5 linked regions of the Oryzias latipes genome follow. The protein of the gene in region 1 interacts with the protein of each later gene in a biochemical or structural test. Links are inferred from orthologs where the notes say so. Each region holds a gene or a part of one and is shown in the gene's direction. Other genes may lie near its edges. The genes, in order: topbp1, ticrr, e2f1, rad9a and rhno1.

Evidence for each region.
Region 2: the proteins of topbp1 (region 1) and ticrr form a complex in vitro, tested with the Homo sapiens proteins (2 studies listed by BioGRID). The link is inferred for Oryzias latipes from reciprocal best matches to the Homo sapiens genes TOPBP1 and TICRR.
Region 3: the proteins of topbp1 (region 1) and e2f1 form a complex in vitro, tested with the Homo sapiens proteins (4 studies listed by BioGRID and IntAct). The link is inferred for Oryzias latipes from reciprocal best matches to the Homo sapiens genes TOPBP1 and E2F1.
Region 4: the proteins of topbp1 (region 1) and rad9a form a complex in vitro, tested with the Homo sapiens proteins (4 studies listed by BioGRID). The link is inferred for Oryzias latipes from reciprocal best matches to the Homo sapiens genes TOPBP1 and RAD9A.
Region 5: the proteins of topbp1 (region 1) and rhno1 form a complex in vitro, tested with the Homo sapiens proteins (2 studies listed by BioGRID). The link is inferred for Oryzias latipes from reciprocal best matches to the Homo sapiens genes TOPBP1 and RHNO1.

The regions. Positions count from the first base shown.
Region 1 is NC_019878.2:21,472,578-21,476,861, reverse strand, and holds the start of topbp1 (DNA topoisomerase 2-binding protein 1), read left to right. Parts: upstream 1-1,300; 5' UTR 1,301-1,366; intron 1,367-1,372; exon of another isoform or gene 1,373-1,717; intron 1,718-2,215; 5' UTR 2,216-2,222; coding exon 2,223-2,309; intron 2,310-2,413; coding exon 2,414-2,548; intron 2,549-2,624; coding exon 2,625-2,768; intron 2,769-3,170; coding exon 3,171-3,352; intron 3,353-3,874; coding exon 3,875-4,068; intron 4,069-4,284. UniProt on the Homo sapiens protein: Scaffold protein that acts as a key protein-protein adapter in DNA replication and DNA repair. Composed of multiple BRCT domains, which specifically recognize and bind phosphorylated proteins, bringing proteins together into functional combinations.
Region 2 is NC_019864.2:8,295,033-8,298,782, forward strand, and holds part of ticrr (treslin), read left to right. Parts: coding exon 1-25; intron 26-749; coding exon 750-975; intron 976-1,639; coding exon 1,640-1,775; intron 1,776-2,297; coding exon 2,298-2,425; intron 2,426-2,623; coding exon 2,624-2,827; intron 2,828-2,939; coding exon 2,940-3,085; intron 3,086-3,750.
Region 3 is NC_019865.2:2,000,055-2,004,433, reverse strand, and holds the start of e2f1 (transcription factor E2F1), read left to right. Parts: upstream 1-1,397; 5' UTR 1,398-2,306; intron 2,307-2,396; 5' UTR 2,397-2,602; coding exon 2,603-2,854; intron 2,855-2,942; coding exon 2,943-3,042; intron 3,043-4,161; coding exon 4,162-4,379. Other genes in the region: znf341 (zinc finger protein 341), read right to left, coding at 288-398, 856-886. UniProt on the Homo sapiens protein: Transcription activator that binds DNA cooperatively with DP proteins through the E2 recognition site, 5'-TTTC[CG]CGC-3' found in the promoter region of a number of genes whose products are involved in cell cycle regulation or in DNA replication.
Region 4 is NC_019868.2:13,973,309-13,977,665, reverse strand, and holds the start of rad9a (cell cycle checkpoint control protein RAD9A), read left to right. Parts: upstream 1-1,343; 5' UTR 1,344-2,669; coding exon 2,670-2,703; intron 2,704-2,781; exon of another isoform or gene 2,782-2,810; coding exon 2,811-2,881; exon of another isoform or gene 2,882-3,000; intron 3,001-3,006; coding exon 3,007-3,080; intron 3,081-3,164; coding exon 3,165-3,213; intron 3,214-4,357. Other genes in the region: uncharacterized protein LOC105354882, read right to left, coding at 1-747. UniProt on the Homo sapiens protein: Component of the 9-1-1 cell-cycle checkpoint response complex that plays a major role in DNA repair. The 9-1-1 complex is recruited to DNA lesion upon damage by the RAD17-replication factor C (RFC) clamp loader complex.
Region 5 is NC_019881.2:18,846,727-18,849,984, reverse strand, and holds rhno1 (RAD9, HUS1, RAD1-interacting nuclear orphan protein 1), read left to right. Parts: upstream 1-1,293; 5' UTR 1,294-1,457; intron 1,458-1,589; 5' UTR 1,590-1,612; coding exon 1,613-1,771; intron 1,772-1,882; coding exon 1,883-2,524; 3' UTR 2,525-2,645; downstream 2,646-3,258. Other genes in the region: foxm1 (forkhead box protein M1), read right to left, coding at 1-409. UniProt on the Homo sapiens protein: Involved in microhomology-mediated end-joining (MMEJ) DNA repair by promoting recruitment of polymerase theta (POLQ) to DNA damage sites during mitosis.

The DNA.
Region 1 (4,284 bases):
CACATTTGTTTTGTTTCTATTAATTTTTTCTTGTTTCTTTCAACAACAGAAAAAGTTTACTTTTGTATGAATATATTTTTTACTCTAGATTTTTTTCTAGGCAAACCAAGGCTTGTTATTTAGGGAATGTTTTTCTTCCTCTGATGCGTTAAACTGAAATTATTCCGACGGGATTTATTTGCCTCCATGGTGTCTGGACCTTTTCACCTCTCACATGACATGTAATTCACAAAACTGTCTTTAAAAATACACCAGTAATGGGGAAAAAAATGACTTTTTCTGTTCGGTTTGCGCAAATGAACAACTCTAGATCAAACCTTCGACCTGCATACGTTTTTGGGATCATTACACGAATCTGCTCCCCTTTATTTTCCAGCCTTCGACTCTTCATCATTGATTCTGTTTTCTTTAGTTTAATCTTCTTCCATGACTCATTTTAAGTAATTCTCCTCCCAGAAAGCAAAAAGCACTAGAATATTTATAAATGGAAAAATAACCACCGGAATGAGCTTCTGCTGACCTGAGTGACTGATTAAGAATATTTGTGAAAGACTAGTGCAATTTGTGAAATGTTCCATGTAATATTGCGTATATAAAATTTCTACATGAATGTACATTTAAAAATAAAAAATCTGTCACACTTGTACATAAAATTTTAAGAATAAAAGGGAACCCACAGTGTTGTTCTTTGTATGTCTATTTCTGTTTGTCTAATAATCAAATCTAGTAATCATACTATTGTCAAATATATATTTTTAATTGCTTAACATTCAGTTAAGATTATCTATATTTTTTATGAAAAGGTATCAATATTTCCACTACCTACTGAGTCTAAGTCTTCTTTACAATTTTAGGGTAATTTGGGTATTTCTGTAACTGATTAAATAAACAATCTTTAATATTATTGTATATTTATTCTTACAGAAGACGTATTTGTAGTCTGAATGACAGTTGGCTTTGATACAGATTTTTACAACAAATGTTTTGATGAATTTCTGTCATATAGGGAAAATGATTGTGTGGGAATGTATGGCCCAAAATAATTATTTGGGGGGGGATAGTGAAAACCAAATTGTAGATAAATTACTATTGACGTCACATGCCGGGCATGACTTTGAAGTTGTACATGCAGACATGTAGCTTTTTTAATTTAATTTTAACCAAATACATTTAGGGTGATTAATGGTATATGTTTCAAACTACTATTTTACTAGGACAGTGAGTTACATATGGACACTCTGACGGATATATATTTTTAAAGTTTTATGCTAAATGCGTGCCGTCCCGGCCAAGAAGAAAGATCTCCGATTCCACTCGGACACATTACGGAGTAACACCGGAAGTTACGCCGAAAGGCGCGAACAATGTAAACAAATAACTGCATTTCATTTGGCTGAGCCTGAGGACTTTTTAAAATTACTATTATTAGAATAAACTTGTATTTTTATGTCAATTTATTTATTCATTTTGGCAAAATAGAATGTTGAACACCAACTTACTTTACTTAAGTATTCTTTCGTTTTTGACAATTTGAATGTTAGCTAACCCGATTGGACGTTTTCTGTAAGCTAGTAGTAGTTTTGATCTAAATGAAAGTATAAACGTAGCGACTCCTTGAATTAAAAAAAAAAAAAAAGCATTGTACGCATTACACCAGACTATTGATTACATGCTGTCTGTATTGCGGCCTAAAGGACTGGTCTAAACGGATTTATAGGTAAGTACTTTCCAGTTTAAATATATTCATGATGATGTACTCCTTCTTGAGTCGTTCCATGGTCTGTAACATTTAGTTATGATGACAAGTTGTATTCTTTTGGCACATTTTAAACGTCTTCCCAATTCGGCGTCTTTTTACAGAATAAAATTCGCTAAATAAAAAAAAAAACTTCAAGTTAAAAGTCTAGCTAGCGTTCAGTGCTAACATTGAATGTTAGCTGACTCTGCCGTCCCATCATGTCCAGCAGTTAAACCTATTTCAGCTGTTATGCTGCACCCAGATTTTAGCAGCTTCCAATCCAAACAAACTCAAATGCTCCCCGGCTGTGTTTATAATTTTAATGATTTTTTTTTAAATCCTTAAATTACTGCTCCATCAAATGTACTTTTTAAATTCATTTTGTTTGATTTTTATTGCATGCTGATATAAACATGGCATCAAAAGTTGGGCACGTAAAGAAGATGTTCTCTAACTTTTATTTTGACTCTTGTGTAGACTCAACATGTCCAAAGTGGAAAAGGAGCGCTTTATTGTGAAGTTTGTGGAGAGTAAAGGATCTAATGCTGAATATGCTGTTAAAGCGTATGAGGTAAACACAACTGCACAGTCCTTTCTGCAGACGTTTTTTTCTGGATGTTCATCGATGTATATTTATTTAGTATTTATTATATAATTTTCATCCTATTCTAACAGGCCATTTTGGAGCTGCAGTCTGAAAAATATTTAAAGAAGGTTAAAGAGGAAGAGGTTTTACAGATGGAAGAGAAGGACAAGTCTCTGTTTGTGTTCAGCAGTTTTACCTCTCCTGCCTTTCTGCACTGCAAGAAGGTTTGTCGCCTTAGTGAAAGCAAAATTCCTGGCAGGATTTTTAGGAATGAACGCTTCGTTGCTCTGTGTTGTGCAGCATGGCTGTAGAATCGTGAGCCCCTTGGTGGTTTTGTACTGCCTGCAGCAGCAACGCTGCGTCCCAAAAGCAGAGAAGCCGGTCTACAACATGGCCATGGCTGATGTCACTATTTCCTGCACCAGCCTGGAAAAAGCCGCACGGGTGAGTTCTGGTCTGTCTTTGAAAAATGCTGAGACTGTTGCACCATTTCATTGCAGTTGTGTTATTTGCATGTATTGCACTGATAATGTTTTGAAAACTAGTTAATTAAATCTGTGCATCATTTCGTTTAATGCAGATTCTTGCATTTTTAGGCACAAATATCTCTGCTGTTAGTTTTTGATATAGAGAATAAAAGAAACAGTTTTTTTTACATGAAACCAGAATAGAAACTTTATAATTAGTTGTTGTTTTTTTAGGTTAAATGAAAACCCAAATGTGACCTCATGAATTGACACTAAATCACTTTTATGCTTTCACGGGCCACATAAAGTGACATGGCGGGCCACATTTGGCCTTCGGGCCTTGAGTTTGTTCATGTTTATGTTTTGTCTCACTCTGCAGGTGGATGTGATGGATCTGGTGCAGCTCATGGGTGGACGTGCCTGCCTTGATCTTAATGTGTCCGTCACACATTTAATTGCTGGGGAGGTTGGAAGCAAAAAGTATCTGGTGGCTGCCAACTTGGGTAAACCCATCCTTCTACCCTCATGGGTCAAAGCCTGCTGGGAAAAATCTCAGAATAGGTATGAACTGATTATTTTTGTTTTACATATTTGCTCCTGGGTGGCGCAGTGGTTAGCGGTCTTGCCTCATGGCAAGAAGACCCCTGGTTCAAGTCCCGGCTGGGGGACCTGAAATGGAACATCAAAAGGGGGTCTTTCTGTGTGAAGTTTACATGTTCTCCCCCGTGCATACGTGGGTTTTCTCTGGGGACTCCGGCTTCCTCCCACCGCCCAAAAACATGAGAGTGAGAGTGAATGGGTGTGTGATTGTGGACAGTCTACCCTGTGACAGACTGGCCAGGGTGTCCTTCCCCCACAAGTGGCCGGGATATGCTCTGGCAGCCCCGTGACTCCGAAAGGGACAAAATGAAAGATGAATGAATGAATCAATGAATATTTGCTCCTTTGTGGTCTTTATTATAAGTGCTAATAGTGTATTGTTATTTTTACTCTTTACACTTCATCACCCTAGTTTCCATAGATTACCGCTGATTCATAAAACTAAGTTTCTGTAGAGTTATATATTTTTTATTCTCTCTTCAGCCTTTTTAGATACACAGACTTGCCTATGGATGAATATCTGTGCCCCGTGCTGCTCGGATGCACCGTTTGTGTGACAGGCCTGTCCAGCACAGAACGCAAAGAGGTGCAGCGCCTCTGTGAACAGCACGGCGCCAAGTACAGCGGCCAGCTTAAAATGAACGAGTGCACGCACCTCATTGTCAGTGAACCAGCAGGTGAGACACTAAAATATAGAACAAAACTGGACTATAATAGGAATACCCGATACGTCCTCATTTTCATGAACATTCACTAACACAGTTACGAACTGTTTCATATTGTAATGAGTTTCTCTTCTTTTGTGTCATATTTTACTGTTACTAATAAAGCTTTGATAAAAAATGTACATTTTTTTACTCTACCACCCATCACTGCTGCTTTACAAGCATATT
Region 2 (3,750 bases), on another chromosome or scaffold:
ACTGTCTTCTCTTGATTCTAACATGGTGAGAGTTATTGTGATTTGTGTTATAATTGTCATTAATAAACCAATATTTTTGGGGTTGTCTTGCAACCGACATATACAATTATAACTCTAAAAGCTGTATTTGGCCTAAAAATATATTTTTCCTCAATGATGCTCCCACTTATCTCCTGAAACCAATCACAGACTACTGATGCCTAATTTCAAAATCAGGATTTTCAGTAGCGTGGGTCTTTAAGGACCAGATAAAGTTATTTTCTTTTTTCAACAATAATTATGAAGGTGGTGTTGCAGTGGTTAGTGCTCTTGCCTCACAGCAAGAAGGCCCCTGGCTGGGGAACCTGAACCAACGGGGGACATTTCTTTTCTGTGTGGAGTTGGCATGTTGTGCCTGTGCATGCGTGCGTTTTCTCCGGGGACTCCGGCTTCCTTCCACCGTCCAAAAACATGCTTCATAGGTTAATTGGTCACTCTAAATTGTTCACAGGTGTGAATGTGAGTGTGCATGGGTGTGAGATTGTGGACCTGTGACAGGCTGCAACCTGTCCAGGGTGTCCCCCTGCCTTTGCCCACAAGTGGCCAGGATAGGCTCCGGCAGCCCTGTGACCCGAAAGGGAATAAACAGATTAGAAAATGAATGAACAAAACAGATGCCAATTGTAAAAACTTACATTAGAATTATTAGAATAAAATCGACTATCACTTATTACCTTAATCTAGGTTTCTTTCTTTCTTTCTTTTTTCAGCTTGCAGAGGTGAATGTCGGTGGACTGGTGTGTTCGGCTGTCCTTTCTCCTCTGTCACACTCGACAGCACTACTCACTGTTCTTCAGCCGGAAATCCCTCAGCAGAATCAGCTCCTGAAGACAAATGCTGAGGCACCTCAAACCACCACTGATCTGCCAGACGTAGTGAGCAGTGTTCTGGGAGTAGTTTATGACATCATGAACAACGATGAAGATGCTGTCAATGGTAGGAACACTGACATGCAGCTGCACATACAAGTCATAATTAATTGATATCACTACATAATATTCTACTACATGCACATTTATTCTTTTGAATTTATTTATTTTGGCAAACATGTTTTCAAGCTGTATTGAAGCCAAATGACTTCAACACAGCTTGCCCTGTGGTTGTATTCAGGTTACAGTGGTGTTGAGTGTTAACGAGGTTTGGCTCTAGCTGTAAAATGGGCAAATTTAGTTTGGTGGACATGATTTTATTTTTCTCTCAACTTTACCTCAATAAAGTTATGACAACACTATTTATTGTGTTAACAAACACTAATTTTAGTTAGTTGTCCACACAAGAAATCTTTCTTAAAGTTTTCAAAATCATTTGTCAATTCTCTTGGCTTAAGTCATTGTATTATTCATTGGTAAGATTTTGTACTTCATGAATATCAGCCATACATGTCACCTGTTTACTGAAAAACAGTAAGATCTGCTACAGAATTGAGTTGGGTTATTTTCAGCCTGAAATGCTCCCGTTTTTGTTTTTTTGGTCAGAATCCAGATGTCTACCAAGTCCTTTATTAGAAATGCATTATATGCTCATTTGCAGTCAATTTTAGCAAACAATTTTTGAATATTAGTGATAAATTGTCATTTGTGTACATTTAATTACTTCTCAGATAAAATACAAGATCCTCCGGTCCCTGAGTGGGCTCAGCAAGAAATAAGCCACCCACTGACAACAAGCTTGTTGGAGACCTGGTTCCCTCTGTCAGACTTGTCTGGAGTGAGCTCTCATTTAATGGAGTCTTTCAGGTACAAAAGCTGGATTTTAGTTTTCTGTTGTCCGTTTACTGTGAACTAGCTTTTGATTGCAGAGTCTGATGAAGAGCTGCTTTTCTCTTTCAATGCATCCCAAAGACAGACACCATTTATAATAAAAATGTGAACTCTGTTTGCTGAATGCAAGCATATCTAAAACTGGCATCACAACTTGTGGTATAACATGTTTTTTAAATCTCTTTACATGGATATTTTTGTAACAGGGGCAATAACTCATTAATGGCAATTTCATACAATTTACTTTACATTTTACTTTTCACAACACTGTTGAATGGCTTGTTTCTTGTCTTCCTCTTTTCTTTTTATTTACATGTAAGCTAAATACCAGTTGATAGCTCTTCATACAGGTTAAAAATACACATGTCCACAATATTAATAACATCAATTTTTACTGCTACTTTTATCAGTTTATAGAAATTTTCATTATCTTGATTCTTTGAAATTCTTTCGTTCTGTAAAGGAAACTCAAATTAAATTTGATTCCCATCATTATAGGTTGCTGAGTGCAGTGCCAGAGCAGAGTGAAGAAGAAGAGGCGTGTTTGCTTCAACAAGAGCTGATTGGTGGTCTTTCTGAACTGTATCAAGCATCTCAGGACCATGTTAATAAGAGAGGGAGGAAACGTAAGTGAACAACTCCATGTAACAATTCTGAGTATTTTTAAAAAAAAACGTTATACCTACATGTTGATGAACTTCTAAGCCATTTTTTATAGACTTTTAGGTTCTTATAAATTATTTTTGTTTACTTCCAACTTACTGTCTGACATCATTATAAAAAAAATGTTTGGAATTCGTTTCATTCTTGTTTTTCATCCCCAGGTGGCGCCCATTGCACACCGGTGAAACAGAAGATGAAGACGATGAGTCGTTCTTTGCAGATGCTGAATGTGGCTCGTCTGAATGTAAAAGCCCAGAAGAACCAGTCTGAGGAGGAGCAGATGGCTACTGAGAGCAGGACGGTAGACAAACCAGAGAAGAGACGGACAAGTGCTCGTGGAAAATCTGCAGGGCAGAGTTTTGTCAGTGAGTGCTGCTATTTTAACTTCAAATACACATAATTGTTCCATTACTGTAAAATATCACATTATGTTTTACTCATCCCTTAAAAAAACAAAATAAACGTGTACTTGTTTAGGTTTCAATGATGAGGCAGAGCTGCTGACTCACCTGAAGACGAGCTATGACAAGACTGTGGCAGAGAAAGACTCATCTCTGCTGAAAGTTGTTCAACAGCTAGTAACCGCTGTGAAAGCTTTTCTTGAGGCAAAGTTGACTGGTCAGGTGAGACTTGGCGCATTTCATTCTAAACCTTTTTTAGGTAATCTTGAAGGGCCTATACCATGCTATTCTTAAGATTTTTATAGTAAACTATATCCATGTATATGAGAATATTTTACCTTTGGCACACAAAAGAACACTTTTTTAAATGAAATATTAGTTATTTTCCGGAGTTCTTTTCCAACCAGGAAGAAAGACGACTTGATCTCTGAAACACCGCCTTTCGCTCCGTGTAGGTGCCGACCATTTCATGACGTTGCCCTCGGCAGCGTGTCTCCCTCTCGCCCCCAAAAACAAACAACATCCAAACAATTGCAAAGATGGATGTGCAGATTGTGCATATAAAAGGAAAGCGTTTTTGCCGATCACCGCTAGCTCCGTGGAGAAAGTGGATGTTTGTGTTGGCCTGAGGGCGGGTAGTTCAGACTCTTCCTGGAAGGGGCTGTTCTTCACATTGCAACGTCTGAGAACCAACTGGTTTTCGTGAGTTTTGAGGGTCTGGTGCTCACAGTACAGGTTTTTAAAGGAATACTCGGAGATGCCGCTTTAGGGTTTCTTTTCTTGAGGAATGAACATTATAATACACTTAAGTAAAAAAACAAAAAAGATTTAGCAGGGTATAGGCCCTGTAATCTATAATTGTGGAAAACCCTGTATGTGATCATCTG
Region 3 (4,379 bases), on another chromosome or scaffold:
GAACATAGATTCTGCAGAGCGCCAGGAGCTGTGGGCGTGACTGTTGGCACAGAGCAACCCCCTTGTTGCTGAGAGCTCTTTGTTTACACACTAGATAAAAGCCCCTCAACCTATTTGTCTGCAAGTGGATGCATCAGAATGGGGCGGAGCAGGGAGCCTGTGGCCCCGCCCGGCGGATTTTCTACGTCACAAATGCGATCTTTTACGAATACTCGGAAATGCAACTTTGAGCTTAGTTGTCTTAATCTGTAGCAGTCCTGTGGAGCTCGGTGCAGAATGCTCCTTACCCATAGACTGGATGGTGGATCCTGCAGACACATTCTGGTTGTTGGGGTCATTGACTCCCCCCTGGCCATCCAGCAGGGACTGGACTGCTAGAACGGTCTGGTTGTCCATGCCTGAGGGGATGGAGGGAAACAGGGATTTAACATCAGTAACAGCTTTTCTTTTTACAACATGTTAGAAGAAGATCTGCTTCTCCATGAAAGTGACAGAAACAATAACGCGAGGAGTGCATGTTCACATATTAATGAATAGCTTTTATTGTCACATGTACAGCTTTTACACTGACATACGAGATGAGTTATTATATTACAGAAATAATTAATATTACATTTACAAAAAAAGCCGTTTATAGCAGTACAGTCTTAATCTTTAAAATATAATCAGGTTGTTTACAATCATCATCATCAGATCAGGCAGAACCCTTCAGTTCAGGGTGCTTACAGCCTACATAATACCCGTTTAAAGGGTGATTTAGTGTTCAAACAAGTCTCCAGTTAATTTACATGATGTGGTTTTCTTTGGCATATAACATATTTAATAATTGCGCGGTAAATAAGACTATATTTGTACCTTCCAGCGCCTCGAATATTGTCTGCGCCATCTTACAGCGCTCCTGTTTACCATCGGTGATCGATTGGTAGGGTCTGTTACTTTAGGTGCAGACCCCCCAATGAAATGCTTACATTAATATTTGCAAATAGAAAAAAACTTATCACATTTGGTTCAGACCCCCAGAAAACTCTAGTTTAGAAAGTTCCTAAGCAATCAGATTTAACTTTATTTTTTGTTAATCTGATTGCTTAAACGGAGAGGGAGCGCTAGGGACTACATTGAAAAAACGTAACTTTTTTAAGCTGGGACGCAAAGACTGTTACATCATATATTTAATATGGTAAAGGAGTTTATCTTTTAGTTTTGGGAAACCTTACATGAAACTGACACTACGTGTTTTACTATTTTGTTTAAAATTTCCTAAACAAAGCAGTTAAGAAGCCTTTTGTCCGTGGAACGTGAATGCACCTCCCAATCAGCAAATCTGTGCTCTGGAGAGTCACAGACGGCCATCTCCGCCAATCAGAGAACACCAACCTGGTCACATGGAAGGCCAGTTTTCCCCATGCTCTGTAACGTGACAGACGGCCATTTCCACCAATCGGAAGACACCAATCGCGTCACGCGCAAAACGAATCCCACTGGCCAATCCCAGCGGTCGCTTTTCCCCACGTGCCAGTTTCGCGGCAAAAAGGATTTCGCGCGAAAACCGTCCAGCCTTGTTTAGATATAGATCAGCTGGGACAACAACAATGACGGCTGCTAATGGGGTCGGCGCGGCTCGTTTACAGATGGACCCGATCTTCGGCGAGCAGACGAAGGAGCATCGGCACATTTTTTAACGTTTGAGCGAGTATTTCCTCCGTTTTGTCTGCATCTCCCGCGTTTCTCCGAGTGCTTCCTGCGTGCCCCAACAGTACGAGGGGGACCGAAGAACTGCAGCTAATCCCTGAAGCTAGCATGCTAAAGTTCCCCGTATTTCCGCGCTAAACTCTCTGTCGTCGCCGTCGCCCGGACGGATGGTTGCTTTCTTTTGGGAACTATTTTCTCAAAGATGGTGTGGATCTGCGATCATGATGCCTCCGCCGAGTGAATGTGTATTTTTTTTATTGCTTAGATAGCCCAGTTCTGTGAGCGTCTATAAAGTTTTCCGAACCCGTTAATGAAGCCATATCGTAGGGAAAAGGAGATAAACTTTTAGGTAGTGGTGGTAAATGTAGTCCTCTGCTGTTGTTCGTGTTTATTAGCAAAGTTGTTGTAGTCTTTTCTTGTGGTAAGCTAGTTCGTTAGCTTGGTAGCTCTGTGTTTGAGGACGGAGTGGCGAGGCCTCTGACAGGAAAACGAAAGACTAGCAGGCTAGCTCGCTCATGATCTCAATTTACGGCGGGTTTCTTCTTCTACTTCGTCTTTTGACCTTCTTTTATTTCCGCTGAAAACGGCGCGCGAGCCGAGCAGCGCGTGAGCCTAAAGTAGGATGCGCTCAGCGGGTCGTTTCCTGTTTGGGCTCCACGTCTCGCCTTGACGTTTGAACCTTCGACTCCTCTGTGGTTGATCTGCAGATTTCAGGCTCGCTGTAGGTCAACCTTCAGCAGGAGGAGGAGGAGGAGGAGGAGAGGTTAATGGATCAGCATTTTCTCCTCAAGTCCTCCTAACATGTTTGGGGTCACCTGGTGCTGAGCCTGTTTTGATACCCCAGTTGGTGCCCCCACCCTCCCTGGCATTCCCCCAGTCTGCTGCAGGAGCCCTTTGGGCGGCAGGCAGTGCCATGTCAGAGACTCTGATAACGGGTCAGACATCCGAGGATCTGCTGAAGGACTTTGAGACTCTGCTGAACTCCGGGAGCATCGATCTGAGCCAGGACCACCAGATCGTCATCATCACCAGCCCCAGCAATGAGGGACTCCACCCGCTGGCCGCCCCCAGCAGCACGGGGGAAATCCTGCTATTCGCCACGCCGCAGAGCCACGCCGACGCGGGGGGCCAGGACAGGAGGAGGCCGGCTCTGGGAAGACCTCCGGTGAGGGCGTGGCTTCAAGGCGGCCGCCGCCGCCACATCATCACACGCCGGGGTTCACATAATCGATTCCTCTTCATTTGATGATTAGGTGAAGAGGAAGCTGGACCTGGATAGCGACCACCAGTATGTCAGCACCACCCGATCCTCCGCCAGCCAAGCACCTCCTTCTACTCCTGCTCCTCCCAGAGGTACGCCGCACGCTCAGGAGCAGGAGCGCCGACTCGGCATCCTTTCACGGCGCTGAAGCTGGCGTCCGGTTAGCGGGGGCACTAAAGGAACATTCCACTGCATTTTTCACCCTAAGACCACCTTAGACCAGGTCCTTTTCAGAAACCACAGGACCTGGGCTGCTCAAACCTGGATTAAAATTAGGATTTAGATAGTAAAGAATTCATTAAACACAGCTTCTGATTTATGAACATTGAAATGGGATGATTTTATGTAGTTGATCAATTTAAAATGATCTATTTTTAGTCTGCCGTCGTTTGGTGAGCTGCATTGCAGGCAGACGACACGAATTCACAAGAGGGGAGGCAACAGAATCCCAAACAACAGAGCGCTGCGAGCAGGAAAGCCACAAAAACTTTAAAATGATTAAATAAAAATGAGTCCAGGTCCAGCGGTTTTTCAAAAGGACCGGGTCTTAGGAGGACCCGGTGCGTAAAATACTATAAAATCCTCCTATTTCACATTTTCATGAGTCAGAAACTGTGTTTAATGAATTCTTTACTATCTAAATCCTAATTTAATGCAGGATAGAGCAGTCCAGGTCCTGTGTTTTTGAACAGGACCACCAATCATTTTACATCTTTTGGATTGCGTAACGCTCAGACTGACTCATGACATCATGGCGTCCACATGCTGCGTGAAGCGTTTCCGTCCGCAGACGTTTGGGGCCGTTGGGATGAGAAGTTGAAGGAGAATTTCTGCTGAAGGCTGAGCCTCAGTTCCTTTTGTTTTTTTATCACTGAAATCCACATTTGACCGTTCAGTTCTAAGATGTTTCCTTCAGCAGAATCTTCATCGGTGGATTTCTATTTTTAAACCACCAAAAGACCCGCCGTGGCTCCGAAATCCAGGTCCCGTGGCCACGTCAGAGAGGGCGGGGCTTGGAGTTTCTTTAAAGGCTGGTTATAAATATTACCTTAAAGAAAATAAAAGTTTCGATGGCGTGGTCCAAACGAGGCCTGCCTGTGCCGCTGGAACGTCTTCACAGCTGGAGTCGGAGGATCACCTGTTTTCCACCTGGATGTGTGTTTTGTTTGTGGAGGAGGTTTAAGGCGGCGTGTTTTTCACTGCTTTTCCAGTTCCTCGAAGCACGGCGGAGAAGTCGAGGTACGACACCTCCCTGAACCTGACCACCAAGCGCTTCCTCAACCTGCTGTCCCAGTCGGCCGATGGCGTGGTGGATCTGAACTGGGCCTCGCAGGTCCTGGACGTCCAGAAGAGGCGCATCTACGACATAACCAACGTCCTGGAGGGAATCCAGCTCATCTCCAAGAAGTCCAAGAACCACATCCAGTGG
Region 4 (4,357 bases), on another chromosome or scaffold:
CTTTTTGGTATTATTCTCAGATTCTGATCTCTGTTTTCTCCTGCTGCCTGCTGGTTTTTGGTTACTTGCAAAGTGCAAGCCTCTACTTTGGTCCAAACCTGCACCATTCCCCGTGTTCAACTCCTTGTTGTCTTTGTCAGCATCAGTACCCTTCTTGGACCACACATGCGATTTGGGTGTGAAACCCTGAACTGTGGTCTGATTGGATCTCAAATTAAAAGCAGTCTCCTTATTAGCAAGGAAGGGTTGAGTCATTGTAAAGTTTCCAAAAGTGCTTGTGTCCCCATTAGTGGACTTAAAGGAAGTGAGATCAATGTCCTTTGGTGATGTTGCAGGAAACAGATGCCACGTTGCTGCTGGTGTGACCCCAGGATGAGTGGCGTGTTCCAGCACCCAGCTCTTGCTCTTGTTGCTAACAGCACTGAAATTAAAAGAAGGGAAGGAAACTGGACTGCTCACCTCACAGCCAGGACCTGGTTGCTTCCCTTTTCCACCACTAAAGCCAAAGTCAGTGGGGGACCCATACTCTTTTAAGGCACTTCCGTTGAAACCAAACACTTCCACAGTGCTGGTGTTGACCCCCTGTGGAGGGAACAATCCTTTTTCATGATGTTGCACCGGTGTGGGAGCATCCACGGCAAATGTTTGCTGGGATCCATGGCCTTCTGATCCTGGCTGGAGCTTCAGTTTCTGAAGCATTGACTGCAGCATGGCCTGCGTGTCTGTCTGTTGCTGTGACTGAGACATCTCTAAAGGTCACATTTAGATGTAGTCACAGTGTGTACAAACGAATAATCCTCTTTTTATCTAAACTAGCAAAGGTATCACACCATTTTCTGTTGTACTGAGGCTGAAACCCATGTTAGAAAAATTGAAATGTCACAATTATTTGATATAAAAAACATCCTGCAAGGACTAAGTCCCTTTTTTGGGATGTTCTGGTCTGTTTCAATCATGCTTACACTTTCTCTTTGCAAACGGTCAGTTGAACGTCCTGTCACTTCTTTTGTTGATGTCTTCCTGTTATTTTGAATTTCCTCCACTTAGAATCCTCAGGTTTTATGAAGTAGGGGTCCTCCTTTCCTCGTTTTAACAAAAGAAGCCAGCACCTCCCGAAGGCAGTCCTCTTGTATCCATTAGATATCTTTCACTGAATGTCCACAGCGATTAGTTTAGTCCCACCTCTTCTTCTTTTCGCGGCCACTACTGTCAGCGGTGATCAGAGGAGAGGTGGTTCTCGACAGCGTTCCTCAGATCTCACGCACTGAAGCAAACCAACACGTAAAACCAGTGAGGTTAGATAACTTTGCTTTCCCAGTGACTCTCCCTTTGTGACTCTCCCTTTGTGACTCCCTTTGTGACTCTGGCTTTGCAGCCAGTTTAGCTTGCCCTTCCGTCCTATTTCTCTCAGGCTCTCTTACACATGCACTATTTTTCTCCACTTTGGGTTTCAGCTAGTAATTACAGTGAGGTTTTGTAAGATCAGTAGCTACTTCTAAACAGAAGAAGAAACATGACACAAAAAGTCAGCTTTTTGGAAAATGCCATTTTACCTCCACCCTTTACTTTTGTTTTTTCATTTTATCTAAATGCCAACAATGTCAAAAACTTGACATTGTTGGCAGGGAGTCAAACTTACCACTTGAACTACAGCAACTTTTCCCTATATGTGAAATAAACGTGCATAAAAAGCACAAAAACAGAATAAAGTAACAGAATTATCTTTAAAACTTTAAGAAACAGATAATAACACTTCAGTTATTCAGGATATTACCTGTATTTTTATAAAAACACCTACAATTATTCCACATTGGTATTGTTTTCCAGAATACAGCCCAAAATGTGTGGGAATCATGCCAAAGAAAGCAAAGTCTACAACAAAGACTGCAGCTTTACAAGTTCTTTCAAGAAATCTAGTCATAGTAAGAGGACAAAGAAGGTGAAGAACTTGATCACCTGTAACCACCTAAAGCTTGAAGAGGGTCAAAAGAAACATACTGCACTTTTTAATAAGGTAAAAGCCTTTAAAGGACCAAATTCTCTGTTTTAGTTTAAATGACTGAAATGACATTGCTTTGCTCTTAGGTGTAATGTGTTGGGGGAGTGGGCACCTCAACAGAAGTAGACTAAAAAGACGAATTTGATGTAATATGTTAAGTGGAAAGTGATATTGAGTGATAGTGGGTGGCTGTGGTGGACGGAGTGGACACAGTTAAGTTGCTGTCCGTCTATCAGAAAAATATATTATATACTTTGCTTCGGAGTCTGTTAAATAAAAAAATAATAATATTTTTATAAGTTGTAAAGACAGGTTGAATCCTTTAATACTGCGAGTGTCGACGTAAAGAAATTTCATAGTAAAAACACCAAAGCTATTGCGCATGTGCATGGGTGTAGCCGCGCCCTCTTCGAAATTCAGTAACTCTGATTGGTCAACTGTGCGGAAGCAGCTTGTGGCGCCGTAAACAACGTGAGGTTTGGCTCAACTGTCTTGCAGTCTCCTAAAAAAACATTTGGTATTCCACTAACATTTAAGCATAAGTTTAGAAAGTGCGTCTGTGTTGTACGTGCAACATACGAAAGCCCCCTTAATTATTTCGATGGTGTTGCACAGCTGCTAGTTTGGATTCATTTTAGACTAACTCGACGGGGAAAGTTCGTTTGCAGAAATGCAGTGTGTCGTGACGGGAGGAAACGTGAAAGGTAGACCAGGATTTTTCTGTCACTGAAACACAATTGTGCTACTACCATTGATAATAATAACAAAGCTGTCGTTATTACCTGTTTGGGCGCGTGCGTCCACTCAATAGTGTTGGCCAAAGCTATCCATTCTCTGTCGCGCATCGGTGATGAGTTGTACGTGGAGCCCCAGGAAGACGGGGTGAGCTGCTTTGACGCTGTCAGAAACACCAGCACTTCCTCCTACCAACCATCATGTATATATTTTGCTTACTTCCTGTTTGCGTCGACGAATGGTGCTGATTTGAATGCATCTCTCTCTTGTAGCTGGCGCTGCGGTCTGTGAACTCTTCTCGGTCGGCATATGCTTGCTTCCTGTTCGCACCACTCTTCTTCAGCAGGTGCACGCTCCGCTCTCGTTTCAATCAATCACAGATCGTGTCAGTGATGCAAGTCAGCTTCCAACTGCCCGTGTTTTTGTGCAGGTACTCGATTCCCGACGGGAGAAACTTCCGCTGCAAGATAGCAATAAAGGTGGATTCTCAAGCTGTTTACCAATGAAAGTGAATCTGCTTATCTTTTTGTGAAAAATCCCAAAGCTCATCATCAGATGACTCCAAGTACTTTTCTTTGTCCTTTATTAAGTACATTTCCCAATAAAACATACTTTGACCATTATTTGTTAGTAATATTTGTAATCATTTAGTTGTTATTAGCATCAATTACATCTCCATACTCCTTCCTCCAGAACTGTCAGATCCTCAGGTCCTGCTCTCTAATCTGAACCAGGACTCACAGCGAGGCCTCTTTTCAGTACAGTGCTCCTCATCTGTGGAGTAACTTACCTGCAGATCTGACATTTTCTGCATCCGTGGAGATTTTTAAATGTAAATTAAAGATGCATCATTCTAACGTAGCACTGCGTAACTCATATAATTAACTTATTTATTTATTTGGCTTTTCAGTATTTTATGTTATCGTTAGTATGTTTTTACCCTTCTATCTTTTAAGCTTTTAATCTACTGTTTTTTATGACTTTTTAACCTATGTTTACATATGACTTTTATGTCAAGCATGTTGATGAAAGGTGCTCTAAAAATAAAGAGGTGGATTGCAATTAAAGTTTTTAATATAAACGTGATCAGATGAAAGATTTATGACATTGATATGATTTGCTTTAATCTGCCACTTATAGCTTTCACCCGTCCTGTTAAGTTTGGCAGTCCAAGCTTACTTTTATTGGTTAGTCATTAAACATATTTTTGTCCCCTTTTAGAAAAAAAAATCCCTTTATTTCCCTTCTTTGACATCTTGACTGTCATACGATGCATTTGTACGACTATTATTATTATTTTTTCAAACTCCTAAACTCCCCCAATCTATTTCTTTTTCAATTTTAAGAATAGGAATATGTATGATTGCTTACCGACTGTTATCCGATTTAACTGTTTAGAAGTGAAAGTTTTTGAGCTAAAACCCGTTTTCTTGATTTCAAGTTATCTCTTTGCTGCCATGTAGCAACTTTAATGTTGTGGTTATCTGAGTGAAAATGTTTCAAACCTCTTAGCTTCCTTCCTCTGGCAGTTGTAGATAATAACAAAAGGGGCCAAATACGCCTATTCTCACTGCTGTGTGAAAGCTCACCTAATAGTAACATCACTTTGCAAATCAATGTCTA
Region 5 (3,258 bases), on another chromosome or scaffold:
GAGTGCTTTCTTTTGTTGCTGGTTCTTGAGATGGGATTTGTGTGGAAACAGCATCTCCTCCAGAAGTAGCAGTCTCACAGAAAGATCCGGCTTGATCCTGATTGCCATTGTCACTCAGGAGAATAAACTTGCTCGGACCCTGAACTCCGCTGTCTTTGCCTTTAGCGGCGAGGACACTAATTACACTCTGAACGTCTGTAGCTTTGGGAATGACCACAACCTGAGTGTCTGACAGGGATGGGTGGCCTATAAAGCGGACCCCGTCTGGGAAGCACGAACTGTCGCTGGAATTTGACGGCTCTTTGGAGCCACCGGACTGCCTGGATGGGTCTGCTGGGGTGGGTTCCTTTTGTTGAAAAGGTAACTTGCGCCTTTTGAGGATCAGGGGTCTCCTTGGGCTCCGTCTCATGGTTCAAATCATCCAAAGGGCCTTAGGTGTTCAATGGAAATCTGTGGGGAGGGGGAAAAGGTCTTGAGCTACAGTTATGGCTCAAAAAGTACTCAGAAGTTAAACACCTTATCAATACATTACGTTACAACGTTTAAATACTGACTTTAACGATAACCCCGAACTAGTGAGCCTGAAAACAACATACCTGCTAATAGAATACGAAGTAATCGGTCAAAAATGATGTTTCAATCCTATGATATCGTCTTCAAACTTAAAGAAACCCGATTATTGCTGTCTGTTTGCTGCAAAAGTCCCAACAGTCCCTCGCTCGAAAGTGAAGATTTTATTCGGTTCCCTTGGCGACATGCCAGTCGTTATAATTTTCAGTTGATGATAGGTTTAATTTCAATAACGTCTATCTAGTGGATATTCAGTGCAACATATATTTACATGTTAACACAATGCAATCAATAAAACAAAAAATAAATTCAAAAAATAACATGCGCCTAGCCAATGTCCCGATTAGCGTATAGTTTCCTTTATTTACAGCTAGGCTAAGCTAGCTATGCTAAAGCTGTTTGACGATGGAGGAAACAAGTGGAAAAATGAAGCCAGACCTTCACATTACTGAATTACTGCAGCGTTTCATTCAATTCCAGGCTTGGTTCGGCTTTCAATTCCACTTGTCGGATCAAAGAAAACATTTAAAATATTCACAAAACCGACGTATTTAGTAGTAATTAGATACAAAAAGTCAATCCATAAACAGTTTTGAATTTTGGCGCTGTGGGCGCTGCCCCGACTGTCACTTTGATCACATGGTAACAATGGACCAATAGTAAACGCAGAAAAAAACACTGGGCGGCTCAATAGGTGGCGCTGTGGGCCGCAGCTCGAGATGGCCAGCCGCTAACCCGAAGAAGACAAAGAAAAAATCCGGGAAATTAAAAGTAACAACAACACGGACAAGCTAAGATAAAAAGGTCTGAATGAACCGAAAAATAAGGGAACGTTTTTATTCCGTATTCCGTACATGGACACATAATCACGGAAAAAGCACAATATGGTAAGTAAAGAACGCGTTTCAAAAGTAAACACTTGAATGCGAATATGTAAACAGCCTCGATCTACGACTAAAGCTATGTGTATTGTTAACAAGATTACTCGATCGGATTTGTCTCTTGTTTGTTTTGAACAGATGCTTAAGATTGATTTAAATTGATGCCCCGGAAAGCGGCAAAGACAGACAAGCCTGCACTGCAATTCCTGGAGCGACCTGTGAGTGGCGCCAGACTTCAAAATGTGCCTGAAGTCAGAGCTGCTCTCAATCCCAGAGAGTTTTTCTCCAAGACACACAGCTCTTCAGCTCTCAGTTCCTGGGTAAAAGTCTTTTAAATATATAAAAATATATAAAACATTACAAATATAGATTTAGTTGATTAGATAACTGGCAAAAAAGTCTACTTAACTATAAATTTCCCAACCTTTCAGGTTCAACCCCAGTTTGACATCTCAGCTACACCTCCATTTAGACGAGGAAGAAGAAATTGTCAGTCCGTCACAAGGATTCTTGACACGTGCAACGAGCTGTCCAGGAAACACAAAGTGTGCAAATACCCATCGTTATTATTTCTTAGGGCGGAGAGAGACAAGTCCCATAATCCAAGTGGACAGCGCACAAAGAAAGCGGCAGAGGTGACGTCAATGCCTGAAGATCAACCACAGGGATCATGTCAAAGCAATAGGACAGTTTTACCTGCACCTAAGAGACGAAGAAATCCTCAAAAATCTTTAAACAGAGCTCCATCTCACAGTGAATATTTGCACCAACCTGAAAATCAGTTAATAGAGGTAACGGAGGAAAGCAGAACTCCACCCGGTGGGTGTAGTAGCCCTAGACTTGGCAATGTTGACCCGCCTCCTGAAGTGGACACTCCAACAATGAAGCAGAACAGTTGCCCCATGTCTCCCCCTGTTTGTTCACTGCTGGCTGATCCCTCCTCCCCGCAGTGTCATCTTCATCCTAATGTTTTGGTCTCCGACACACCAGAGAGGGACTATGGGGTGAAGGTGACGTGGAGGAGGAGAAAGGGATTGATGATCATATTAAAGGAAAGGGGCCTCCTCGATTAGTCACTTAAGTTTATTCTATCATAAATCTTTTAATTTTTGTAAAAAATCCTTTTTCATTTCTCTTGCACACCCAAATAATATTATTTTTTCCTGATGTTGCCTGACAAGAATCAAATGAAAAATAAATGAATTTGACATCTGATTAATAATTATTTATTTTTCTAAGTTTTGAACACATATTAGAAATTTAAGTCATACTGGATGGTCATTTGAAGCCCATTTCGTTTTAGAGAAAACCTTTTATTGTTCCCACCTTTTCCCCAGATGTAAACCAATTAGATTCCTTCTAGGAAAACAGCCGGCCAATAGGAGTGCTCGTTATTGGTCCGCTTGGTTGCCAAGGCAGAGTATTCATCCGCAGCTCCTGCGTCCGCAAAAAGCGTTTTTCTTCGAGGAGCCTTTTCCTTAGTAACCGTGCATAAACATGAGTTATTACAGCATAAGGTAAGAGTAAAGCCTTGAAAATACATCCTTACTTATTCACGGACTTCTTTGGTCTTCAGTTTTGTCTATTGTGGCGTGAAAATCCCGCTCGTGTCCGTGGAATTGTGTTGGGAAAACTTAAGTGTCGCCTTTAACTTTGATAAAACGCGGCATCGCAAACATCGGAAAACGGGCTGAAGCAGCTAACGTTAGCTTCTAACGGTTGTACGGTAGCTTTGATATTCAACTCCTGATAATTATAGAATTGATGACAATTAACTGAGAATGTTTTTAGTTTGATTTTTTTAGTG